Linked DNA regions of Oryzias latipes. The protein of the gene in region 1 purifies or fractionates together with the protein of each later gene. This does not show direct contact. Links are inferred from orthologs where the notes say so. Each region holds a gene or a part of one and is shown in the gene's direction. Other genes may lie near its edges.

Region 1 (4,146 bases):
TAAAAAAAAAAAAAAAAAAAAAGAATAGGCCAGTGTTGCTCCTCACAACTTCTTTTCTTTTTCTGCCTTTTTATTGTTTGTTTTACTCCGATTAAGGAGCTGTATTTACATAATAATTTCCCCCTCCATTGTATATTAATATTTCTATTTTGATATGACACGTTTAAATAAAAGAAAATGCAGCCATCATGCATACATACACACACACCCACACACACACACACAGAAACCATGGAGTACTAGTACATACATGTGAAAATCGCTATCTTACACGTGCTAAGAAGTTAGTTACATTACTAACAATGTTAAAACTATCCATACACTTACCACAATGAAACCAAGAGCCGCTAATGCGACGAGAACTTGAATAATTTCACAGATAAAGTCCATCATGTTTCCATAAGTCGCCCTACAGCTCCTAACTAACACCTACACCTGGCTGGCTGTAGCTAGCTTTTCTTCTTTGTCCCGTTCCGTATCCCAACCCTCTAACTTATAACAAAGGTGTAAACGAAAATATATGAAATATAAACACTGAATCTCTATGAGCCCATAACGCTTTCAAGCTCCACTTCCAATCAGAGCTGTACACAAAAGCAACACGGAAGTAAATTTTACTCCTCGACACATCATCAGTTTGAAGCAGAACTCCACATGACAGGCTGCGAGAAATGCATACTGCCACTTACAGGCGTGGGGTGGTACTGACACTAGCAGGTTTTTAGTTTGTTTGTTTGAACAACCAAACAACAGGTTTTGTTTTTCATGCATATATTTTATGATCATTGCTAACCCTAACGTTTGAAGCAGCAATGTCAAAGTCTGAAAGACAAAAAAAGAAAAGACTAACCAACAACTATAACTAAAAACTGAAAAAGAAAAATAATTAGATTAAAAATTGTCAAGCCTGTAAAAAAGGGTTAATGCAGTTTTATCATTTCTTTATGGTTTAATGTAGTTTAAAACCAAATTAATACAGGTGTTAACAAAATGAATATAATAGAAATAATATTTATATTAATATCTTTTTAAGATGACACAAAATCAACAAGACAGTAGTAATGAAATAAATAAATCCCCAAATACGAGAACAGTTTAAAACTTGAAGGAAAATCTGGAAGAAAAAAAACAAAAAACAATAAAACATGAATGGTAAATTATTAAAAGCTTAAAGTAGCACTTTCTTTATTAGTTACTTATATTTTTGGAAATTGGATTTGGGTACGCCAAAAAAATAATACAGTAAAAAGCGGATCTTTATCGTCCCTAAATTAAAAGAAGAAGAAGAAAAAAGTGTTCAGGTTCAGCACAGCATGGACGAGGTTTTTTCCCCATTGCGGCTGCCGTAGCACAAACCCACGTGTTGTACCAAAACATCATGGCGGCTGGATTCAAGTCAGTATCTGAAAGTTGTTCAGGTTTTATGTAATTTACGGCGTTTTTTTCGTTTAAATTAACTTTTTAACTTTACATAAAGAAAATGAATTATTTGCTGTACTTTAAATCAAAGTGGAGAAATCACAAAGTCTAGGTTATGTCCGTTAGTAAATTGGGTTTCTATTTATTGCCGCTAAGAATTTATTTTTTATTTTATCAACATAACACTAAACGTACGTGATTTTGTACATGCATTTACCTTTTCTGTCTTCCCTCATGACTGTTTAGGACCGCTGAACCTCTGGAATATCATATGAGCTTTCTGGTTTGTCCAATTTTTTATTTATGTATTTTTTTATTAGATTGTCAAAATATGGCACACACACACATTCACATAACTACAACAGAAAGAAATAAAAAGGAAAAAAACGTTAAAATTGTAGTTCACAATACTAGGGATTGCCATACAACATGTGATCTTCAATAAAAATGGACAGTTTTATTGCGTTTTTGTTTTTCATTAATTTCAGGGAGTTGAAACATAAACAAATCTCTTAATGAAATGTATTAAATGGTTTGCTTTTTAAAAATCTGCTGTTATGAATTAAGAACTTTCCAGAAATTAATATTTCAACTTTACTGTAACGCTGTAATGTTACACTCATATCAATTTGAATCTAAAACTTTATTTATTTTCCCCATAGAAAGAGAACTGTCGACCAGATGGACGCGAGCTGTCTGAATTCAGAACCACGACATTGAATATAGGTGAATTGAAGCACCACAAAGTTGCAGTGTTTATGATACAAGCAAACAACAATCATTGAGCACTTTTCTCTTTTGGGTTTGTGTTCAGGGTCCATATCCACGGCAGACGGCTCTGCATTGGTGAAGCTGGGAAGCACAACAGTCATCTGTGGCATCAAAGCTGTGTGTTAACATGTTATTACACTGAAACTCACTCTTAATAATTTATTCCAGATGCCTTTGTTTTAAAAGGTGTACAGTTAAAAAATAAAACAGATCTATGTGAATATTTCTTAACCCCCCACCACTTCTTTCAGTGTTTGTACATTTAGCAAGTTGTTTCCTGTGTCATACATTGATCTATTCTGCAGGAATTGGCAAACCCTACAGTGGAAGCTCCTGGTAAAGGATATATTGGTAAGTTTTTATAGATAAAAATAGTTAAAGATACTTTATCGATGCCAACTTGTTAAATTTGTAGCAGTAGTGTGCAGACCTTAGCTTGTACAGAGAAGCAACTATCAAAAATCAATGATGAATGCAGCGTATCTCTGGCACAAAGATGAGTTAAACAGTCCTATGTCGTGGAACAGGAATGAGCTCCTTTAGCAGTCATCGTAGCAGCACTTGGAAAGGCACTCAACTGTCCATCCAGTACGGCAGGCAGAGGATGCTCAGGATTATCCATGATGGATACGAGTTTGTTCTATTTTTAGCTTCAAGGGTTGTCACTGAAAAGCACAAGTTTTTAAGTGGAAAAATAATCCCAATCATTGGACTTTTCCTGTTATTTATAGTCCCCAATGTAGACCTACCACCCCTCTGTTCCTCGCGATTTCGGCCAGGCCCGCCAGGAGAACAGGCCCAAGCTTCCAGCCAGTTTATCGCTGATGTCATCGAAAGGTTTGTCAGAATTAAAAACACTACAATCTCTTTACTCTCATCAGTTTATCTGCATTTCTCCCAATGGTTTTCACCAACTTCCATCCACCTTTGCAGCTCTGAAATAATCAAACCAGAGGACTTGTGCATCGACAGAGGAAAGGTAAATCCAGACTGATGCCGTTTGTTTTCACTGTTGGTTCACTAGCGGTGAGTCTATTTATCCTCTTTGCAGCTTTGCTGGGTGCTGTACTGTGACATCATGTGTCTGGATTATGATGGAAACATTCTGGATGCGTGCATCATTGCTCTGCTGGCTGCACTGAAGAACAGTACGTCATTGTTTCAGTAAAAAAAAAAAAAAAATAATTAAAGTTATTCTGTACATTTTAACCAACTAATCCGTGTTTTAAAATTGAAAATTGCCCCGAAAGGAGTCTATCAACAGGCTGATTTTGCATTTTTCACTTCCCACAGCTCGTCTCCCAAAGGTCACCGTCAACAAAGCGACATGCAAACCAGAGATAGATTTGAAAGAGCGACACGAGCTGCCGGTTCACAAACATCCAGTCGGCACCTCGTTTTGTATCTTCCAGGAGTACGTTTTAGATATTGTTGCATTTTCTGGGTTTGTTGAAAGCATGTGTACAAACCAAGCGTGCTCTTTGTGCAGCTCCATCCTGATTGTAGATCCCACCGCTGATGAGGAGAGTCTGTCCACATCGCGGCTCAGCGTGGTCACAGATGAGGAGGAACGACTCTGCTCTCTACACAAACCAGGTCAGACAGGCCGTGCAGTGCGCTTCCGGCGATCAACACAATAACTCCAATCATACGGAGCTGAAACCCGGTTCTTTGCGCCTCAGGTGGGACGTCCCTGTCAGCAGAAAAGCTCCAAACTTGCATCAACCGAGCAACAGCACGACAAAGAGAGATCCAGAAACTCATCGAGAAAGTTCTAAACAGCGTGAAGGCAGCACAATAAAGACACCCAGACCAAGACTTTTATCTAAAAGCTGTATTTTCACTGTCAATATATATGTTCTTTTTTTTTTAATAACAATAAAACTGCTGACAAAGACTGCTTAAAAAATTATTTCTCAATATTCAGAAACCTCTCTCACACACGCTCAGCTGATG
Region 2 (4,301 bases), on another chromosome or scaffold:
TCTATGGAGAGCTAAATATTACAAGTTATTTAGGGTTTAAGTTAACTTGTGTTCCTGTTTTTATGCATATTTATGTTAAAAAAGTTCAGTTTAAAAGGTTTAAAAGTTTAGCTTTAGTGTGTTCAGTAAATGTTTATCTTCTTCGGCCAAAAACCTTAAGCGTGTTTGACTGAGTTTGACCCCCCTGTAATACGAGTCTAGAAAATGCATGCATTTTTTATGTAAAATTGCTAAAAAGAAGATAGGTAACACAACAGGATGTTGTCAAATTTTGTATGTGTGCGGGGGGGGGGGGGGCGCCTGTGGGGTTACTCGCCCAGGGAGTAAGTTAGTGTAGAACCGCCACTGCATTAGCATGATACAAACTTTCCATGTCTTTTACCCTGCAGTTCATCATCATTCCACTAGGGGCAGCAGAATGGCTTTTACTGTATTGCTTATTGCAAAATGGCCGCCTCTGTGACATATCCATAACACGTTTGGCAGGGAAGTTTAGCAAATGTTTATGGTGAAAATAACCCATCTATTGTTATTCATTTTCAAACGCTGGCGAGGCTCGCCTCCCTGGAAGCTTTTTCTCCGCCCTTACAGTCATCGCTCTGACCGTACTCTCTGTTACAACTGAGTCCTGCAGTCAGACATGACGCGAAGCGCTCCAGAGCCTCACCCGGAGTTTCTGCTCCCTATGTGAGCGCACAACAGTCAAATTCTGCAAATTTAACCTCAGAAACTGTGGGAAATGTGTCGAGTCAACTGAAAATGTGTCTTTAATACGGATCAGAGGAAAATCATATTTACTTAGTGTACGTTTTTCTATTTTATCACATTGACCAGTGAGGCCGAGCTTCACTTGCCTCATCTGATCACATGTCACTGTTGAAGTTGACATTTTTTGTACCACCTCTATGCTTTATTGTAAACTTAAGATGTTCCAAATAAGTCTGACGAAGGATACAGTTAGCATACTTCCTACACTACTAGGCCTATAGTAGATTTGCTCAATGCATATACAAGTATCTTACTAAAATAAACTTCAAGTGTACTATGGTACTTTTAACTAAAGGTTTTCTAGAGTTCCACGTCTCTCTTTTTAAGTCAAAACAGAAAAAAATAAAAATAAATTATTGACCTGTGTTTTATCTTTCGTCTTATGATATGACATGCTTATCTTTTAAATTAATTTTCAATTATGTTTTTACAAAATGTAGGCTACTTCGGTACAATCAGCGATTGTTGTAAAGCGACTTACAAATAAAGTTTTTGGAATGTTTGCCACGTGACCCGTTGGGTTTTGTTGACTGTCGTGTTTATTACTGTTTATCTATAATGTGTTGTGTTTATTTTGTTGTAAACTACACATCAAACGCATTTCCGTTGATTCACCTGTTCTTTAGCTTGCACTTCACTGTTCTGTGATCAAAAATTACCTGTAGGATAAATACATAACTTAAGGAAAAGCCTCGATTCCTCGGTGCTTGATTAATCAGGCCTGCCTGAATTGCGCATGCTCGACTTTTGACAACATGTCTTTTCCGGCGCGTGGGGCGTTTGTTCTGCTGCAGTAACCAAACCAACGACGTCCTACGGTTAGGTTGAATCAGTTAAGGTTAGTTTAGCGCGGATAGTCTGTTTGTGTTAACCGGAGAAAGATGGCTGCCGACGGAGTGAAACTCTCCAAGAATCTGCTGCGCATGAAGGTACATGCTAGCACCATTAGCTAGCTGCGGCGCGAGCCGCTAGCGTCGATTCATTTTGTTGGCTCCAGAGTGAGAGAAATGGACCAGAACTGATGTTCGTGTCCATAATTCTGCCTCTTGTTCTTCATCCTTCGGCAGGGGCCTGTCTTATCTCCATTCAAGGATCTTTCTGGTTGAATTTGTCAGAGCTGGGCATAGTTTGGGGCTTGACTGTTTTGGTTGGTCTGCTTTCGACTGAAAGGTGGTCATAACTAGTTAATAGGTTAAGAATGACGAACCACAGGTGGGTTAGATTTAGTTTGGTGCTCGGTTTCACATAGTTGCATTGTAAACCTTTAAGACACGTGATCACCTGGGTGGACTGACTCTCGTGAGGTATACTGTACTGCAGATGAGAGCGTGCACGTAGGCGTATGCATGAAAGTGTCATCTGTGGCTGCAGTTCATGCAGAGAGGGCTGGATGCAGAGACGAAGAAGCAGCTGGAGGAAGACGAGAGGAGGATCATCAGCGACGAGCATTGGTATCTGGACCTGCCCGAGCTCTGCACCAAAGAGTACGTGTCTGTGCTCGTGCACGCCTCGCCTGCAGTGGTGTGAACACCTGTAGGTGTGGATGATGGTGACCTCTGCTCCTTCATCAGGACTGTGCTGGTGGAGGAGGAGAGCTTCACTCCCTGTGAGGACTTGCAGTTTGGCCGGATCTCCTTCAGAGGCTTTAACCCAGAGGTTGAGGTGAGGTTCAACCTACAACCGTGTGCGTGCGCACGTGCGTGTGCATGCGCACGTGCGTGTGCATGTGTGCTCTGACCTGTCAGTTGTCCTCACAGAAACTGATGACCTTGTTGAATCCAAAAGATGAAGATGAAGAGGAGAAGGATGTGAGCTGCATGCAGACAGACATCACAGATGAGGAGATGGCTCTGAGGTACACTTCCTCTTCCTCCTGTCCTCCTCAGATGTTATTTGATAGGGTTGCTCTTTGCTCAACAGATCGGTTCCAGTTCTGGATCCAGAGCCTGACTGGTGCCAGGACTGGAACCGGGTCTAAAACGTCGACCCGCTTCATGTCGATCATATAAGCTTTGGGGGCGTGGCTACACAGCCGCAGGAAGAGAATGGAATCTGCTCTGTAGTGGTCTAAACTCTACTCCATCCTCGGGTAGTTAAGCTGATGATAAAGAACTCATTTGGCTCAATCCATCAAACACTTCATTTGTGGAGCGTCTTTCTTCAACGTGCTTAGAACACAAGGTGTTTGACATAAAAAACAAACAGGTTGAAATTATAAAAAGTCATAAAACCAGCAACAATCAAGAGGTGAACATAAGATGGTAGAAAACTGTGGCTACTAGTTATTGTTGAGAAGGCGCTCTATAAAGAGAGTAATAAAAGTACAAACGATTAACAATATAAGCCATGAAATACTTTAGACCCAAATAAATAATTGAATTAAATGAAGACGTTTTTGAGAATTTACATGAACATTTACAGTGAAACTCTCCACAGATGCAGAAACTCTCAGATCTTCAGGTTCCACAGATGAGGACCACGGTACTGAAATGAGGCCTCAATGTGGGTCCTGGTCCTCAGTTTTTCGTTTAGATAAGAGAGCAGAACCTGAGGATCTGAGAGTTGTGGAGGTTTTGGAAGGACCTAGATCTGATAAATAGGAAGGTCCCAATCCAAAAAGACATTTATAAACTAGAAGGAGAATCTTCAAATCATCCAGAGGCTGACAGGAAGCCAGGAGGGATGTGAGCTCTGAATTCTGGACGAGCTGGAATCTATTCATAGATTAAAAGAGCATCACAAAAGTCCCGTCTAGATATGATAAAAGGCAACATTGTTAAAGGAATACAAGCAGTCTTAGTTGTGTTTGATATGTGGATTTTAAAGTTAAGATCTTCCTACATTTATACCAGAGTTTTGAAGTGAGTGTGGCTTCAGGCCCAAGGATCAGTTTCTGTTTGGTCCTTGTTGAGTTTGAGAAAATTAGCTGTCGTCCATTCTATGACATCACTAATATATTTAAGAGGTTTGTCAATGGGATGTAGGCCACACTGGGAGAAGCTGTGGAAGTCTACATCCTAACGTCATGAAGTGTAGCTTAGTGACGTTACCCAGTGGGAGCCTCTACAAGTGAACCCTTTAACACTGGAGATGTTGCCAGTCACATCTAAATAACAGATTCTTTCAACTACCGTTACTCTTCAACCGTTTACGGCTTTTCACTGATATGCCAAACATTTTGCAAAGTGTTGAATATTCTGTTGATTTCTAAAATAGTTATTTTTACATTACAATTAAGTAATTCATCTTTGTCATGTGCTTTACTGATATTTCAAGATTCTTAATTCTGTCTGATAAAAGCTAGAAACCGGATATTGATAAATCATGTAATAAAATGGTTATGGTATAACGGGGTGGGATTATGTAAGTTCGCTTTCTTTCTCTCCCTTTCTAGCAATATTTATTAATATGCCTCATTATCCTAAGTTTGATTAGTTGTTGTATGAATGTATAACTGATTCAATGATTGTATTGCTTTTGTGTGTTATTTCGAATTAATTGCTTGAAATAAACCATTAAAAAAAAAAAAAAAT
Region 3 (3,551 bases), on another chromosome or scaffold:
GAGGCTGTTGCTCAGTACAGCAGCCTTCACTCAGGAGTTTATGTCGTCACGGTCCAGGTGAGAGGCGCCCGTCCTCTTCAGCTAATGAGCTGCTTTCAACCGTCTGGTCCACATGGACGACATGCTCCTGAATCCATCCACCCGTTTCTTCAGGATTATTTGCAGAACTTCTGGCCGGATCTGCAGGCGGCTCAGGAGCTCTACGCCTCCATTTCTCAGGCGTTGGAGGAGAGGGAGGCTGAGGACTCGCAGAGGGAGTTTCCTGAACATCTGCCTGCTGAGGTCATGGAGGCTGGCATCAAGTCTGGACGCTACATCCAGGTACTGAATCTGCAGAGGCAATAGACCAGATGAAAGACGGGAATATATTTGTATAAAGTCCTTCAGGATTTGAGGCTAACCTTTTATATTATTAAATGAGAAACTCGAATGCAAATCAGTCCGCCCATCAGAAATACATGAACAAAGCTGCTAAGACAGTTTACCATGTATTATACCACGGTCTGGGTGAATTCTGGTTTCTGATTGGCTGCTGGGTTTGCATTAAAACATGATAAATCACAGCGATAATGTAGACCTAAAATAGTGGTTCTGGTCACATAGCATACATGTTCTGTATCACTGCTCTGGTTCCTTTAAAACAAACTTTATCTTCATCATCTGGACAGAAACAAGCGGGAAGAGGAGAACTGATGCTTTATTTAACTGTCGTGACCACCAGCATACATATGGCTTTCCTTAGCAAATAGTCCACTTTTTATGAAAAAGCGATCCAAACCAAAAAAATAACAAGGATAAAGGACTAAAAAGCTGGTTAAATATTTATTTCCTTTGTAAGTGACCGTGGTTTAAGCGGGTTCACGACTTCCAAGTGTGCATTATGTAAGGGTTAATGGCCTTCGAAGTGTGCGGTTACTACTTTTTAACGCACGCCGTGGAAGCCTGAACCGTCCGACGCGAAGCGGAGGACGGTTGCTTCCGCGAAGTGCATCGCGCCGCATCACGTAACATATAGTACATATATATAACATATAGTCCGCGTCGCGCAGTACCACCGCTGCAGTCAAGTTTCGGCGATATATATATGCTGATCGTCCCGATGGGTTGAATAAAGCATCAATTCAGAGGGAAAGTTAATCGCTTACCGCTTGTTTTTGCCCCGATGATGAAGCAAAAGGTTGTTTTACAGAAGCCGGCGCAGTGATACAAATCATTTAAGCTAGCCGACCGGAACTTCTTTTTTCACTGTGCGGTTATCAGGTTTTAACGCATACCCAGCAGCCAATCAGAATCGAGTGTTCACCCGGACCATGGTATAACAGAAATTAACGCACGACGTGGAAGCCTGAAACGTCCTCAGCTTCACGTCGGACAGTTGCTTCTGCGAAGGCCGAAATGATAAACCAACAGAACGGAGTCAAATGTCAACGGCTCTACTTGACCAAAAGGAACAGAAATGACCGTCTGGTCTGTCTTCCTGAACCACACAAATAAAACTATGCAAGTTCAACAGCCAAAGAAGGAAGAGAATTGCAGTCCAGGATCTTCCTGAGCGGCGGCTGTAGACCAGCTTCATTTAAAAAGCGCCTTTTGTTTTTGCTCTTCATCATTCATGATTCATGAACAGATGCTCCTCACATCCCCATCAGAAAGCCTCTTCCTGTTTCCTCTGTGGTCCGTTAGGGAACTCTGAGCGTGAACAAACACCGAGCCCAGAGCGAAGCTTTGGTTCAGACGGAGGGCTCGTCCAGCCAGGCCATGGGTAAGAACGGCTCAGGGGGGCGTCTGTTCCTGCTGAACGACCCTCCACAGCCTCTCTGTCCCGTCAGATCTGAGCTCGGGGGTGCTGGTGCACGGGGGCAAGAACCGCAACAGAGCCGTGCACGGAGACGTGGTCGTGGTGGAGCTGCTGCCGAGGAGCGAGTGGAGGGGGAGAGCAACGCTTCTGACAGAGGGACAGGGGGACGACAGGAGTCCAGACGACGGCCAGGAAAAGCCCATGCCAACAGGTGGGAGACCCCTTTGCCCCGGAGCTTCTGCCCCTTACAGCCTTTTGACCGCCCTTTCTGCAGTGAAACCGATTCCAGTGGAGAAAAGCGCCGATATGCAACGCTGCACAGCAGAGAAATGTGGACACGATCAAGGTGAATCAGAGAAAGACAGAAGGCACAAACAAAGCTGAATTGGAAGGGTTAAAGATCCTCTCTTGTTTTCACGATGTCCAGAATAGGTGGAACAAAAAACCAACCCCTAACATCTTCATCCTACTTCTGTGAAGTTTCTGAAAACTATGACACGGTTTGTGAACAAACCCTATCAGCTTTTAGTTGGAGCTTCTCTGTTTGAGAAATCATGGAACACTGTATGGTGTTACCAACCTCATTGGTTTATTATTCCACTAATACATTTGACAGTATGTGAACTGCATCAGAATCATGTGAATACCGTAAATTCCGGGCTATAGAGCGGACCTGATTACAAGCCACACCCATTACATCATTAAAAGATAAACCATTTTATATACAAATAAGCCGCCCCTGTATATTAGCCGTGGCTGAGCAGTCCCTCCCCTGTCTCTGAACAGTTTTAGAGAGGGAGAGGCCGACAGAGGCTGCATTTTCTCCTTTCCAGCATTTTAACCTGCTCAGCATTATAGCCTATTCATTTACTCATGCACACAAACAGCCAAACCGCATGGAGGTCACTCCTGCTCACAGCCCCCTCAGTCATGGTGAGGAACTTTACACCCACGATTCCCCACTTCCCATGAGTCTTAGGGGCTAACCCTCAGGTCGATATACAGAGAGGTTGATATACAGAGTGAAAGAGAACTGTAATAAAAGAAGGTTTCCCCCAGAGAAGATGATCCTTTATTAACCCACTCTGGAGGCTCTGAGGGTCCAAACAGGGAAGTGAACAAACAAAGGAAGATCCACCTTCAGCGGAGAGGAAAGAAAGAAAAAAGTAATGCAGGAAAGGTTCAACACATGATATCTACAAAGAAAGACGGTGCAGAAAGAGTTTTCAAAGTTTTAATGACATACCTGGCTTTTCTTTCCAAACAGTGCCTTTGACGCGGCAGCAATATGGTAGTAACCGCACTAACAGGGCTGGGTAAAAAACATGAACGTAAAAGTCACTGAGAGCTGTCTTCATCTTCCTCCTGTGCCCTGAAACATGGAAGTTTTCCTCCTCTTCATCTTCCTCCTGTGCCCTGAAACGTGGAAGTCTTCCTCCTCTTCATCTTCCTCCTGTGCACTGAAACATGGAAGTCTTCCTCCTCTTCATCTTCCTCCTGTGCACTGAAACATGGAAGTCTTCCTCCTCTTCATCTTCCTCCTGTGCACTGAAACATGGAAGTCTTCCTCCTCTTCATCTTCCTCCTGTGCCCTGAAACGTGGAAGTCTTCCTCCTCTTCATCTTCCTCCTGTGCCCTGAAACATGGAAGTTTTCCTCCTCTTCATCTTCCTCCTGTGCCCTGAAACGTGGAAGTCTTCCTCCTCTTCATCTTCCTCCTGTGCCCTGAAACATGGAAGTCTTCCTCCTCTTCA

Evidence for each region.
Region 2: the proteins of exosc8 (region 1) and mphosph6 purify together in Homo sapiens (affinity purification with mass spectrometry; 4 studies listed by BioGRID and IntAct, counting the BioPlex papers as one, with this or other methods). This does not show direct contact. The link is inferred for Oryzias latipes from reciprocal best matches to the Homo sapiens genes EXOSC8 and MPHOSPH6.
Region 3: the proteins of exosc8 (region 1) and dis3l purify together in Homo sapiens (affinity purification with mass spectrometry; 4 studies listed by BioGRID and IntAct, counting the BioPlex papers as one, with this or other methods). This does not show direct contact. The link is inferred for Oryzias latipes from reciprocal best matches to the Homo sapiens genes EXOSC8 and DIS3L.

What each region holds. Positions count from the first base shown.
Region 1 is NC_019872.2:10,272,695-10,276,840, forward strand, and holds exosc8 (exosome complex component RRP43), read left to right. Parts: upstream 1-1,323; 5' UTR 1,324-1,378; coding exon 1,379-1,395; intron 1,396-1,665; coding exon 1,666-1,702; intron 1,703-2,081; coding exon 2,082-2,145; intron 2,146-2,233; coding exon 2,234-2,307; intron 2,308-2,495; coding exon 2,496-2,541; intron 2,542-2,921; coding exon 2,922-3,027; intron 3,028-3,123; coding exon 3,124-3,169; intron 3,170-3,241; coding exon 3,242-3,338; intron 3,339-3,483; coding exon 3,484-3,604; intron 3,605-3,679; coding exon 3,680-3,786; intron 3,787-3,872; coding exon 3,873-3,991; 3' UTR 3,992-4,087; downstream 4,088-4,146. Other genes in the region: alg5 (dolichyl-phosphate beta-glucosyltransferase), read right to left, coding at 328-393. UniProt on the Homo sapiens protein: Non-catalytic component of the RNA exosome complex which has 3'->5' exoribonuclease activity and participates in a multitude of cellular RNA processing and degradation events.
Region 2 is NC_019864.2:5,684,989-5,689,289, forward strand, and holds the start of mphosph6 (M-phase phosphoprotein 6), read left to right. Parts: upstream 1-1,464; 5' UTR 1,465-1,649; coding exon 1,650-1,697; intron 1,698-1,738; exon of another isoform or gene 1,739-1,980; intron 1,981-2,088; exon of another isoform or gene 2,089-2,139; coding exon 2,140-2,252; intron 2,253-2,339; coding exon 2,340-2,430; intron 2,431-2,525; coding exon 2,526-2,623; intron 2,624-4,301. UniProt on the Homo sapiens protein: RNA-binding protein that associates with the RNA exosome complex. Involved in the 3'-processing of the 7S pre-RNA to the mature 5.8S rRNA and play a role in recruiting the RNA exosome complex to pre-rRNA; this function may include C1D.
Region 3 is NC_019861.2:584,693-588,243, forward strand, and holds part of dis3l (DIS3-like exonuclease 1), read left to right. Parts: coding exon 1-57; intron 58-153; coding exon 154-321; intron 322-1,683; coding exon 1,684-1,762; intron 1,763-1,829; coding exon 1,830-2,009; intron 2,010-2,072; coding exon 2,073-2,144; intron 2,145-3,551. UniProt on the Homo sapiens protein: Catalytic component of the RNA exosome complex which has 3'->5' exoribonuclease activity and participates in a multitude of cellular RNA processing and degradation events.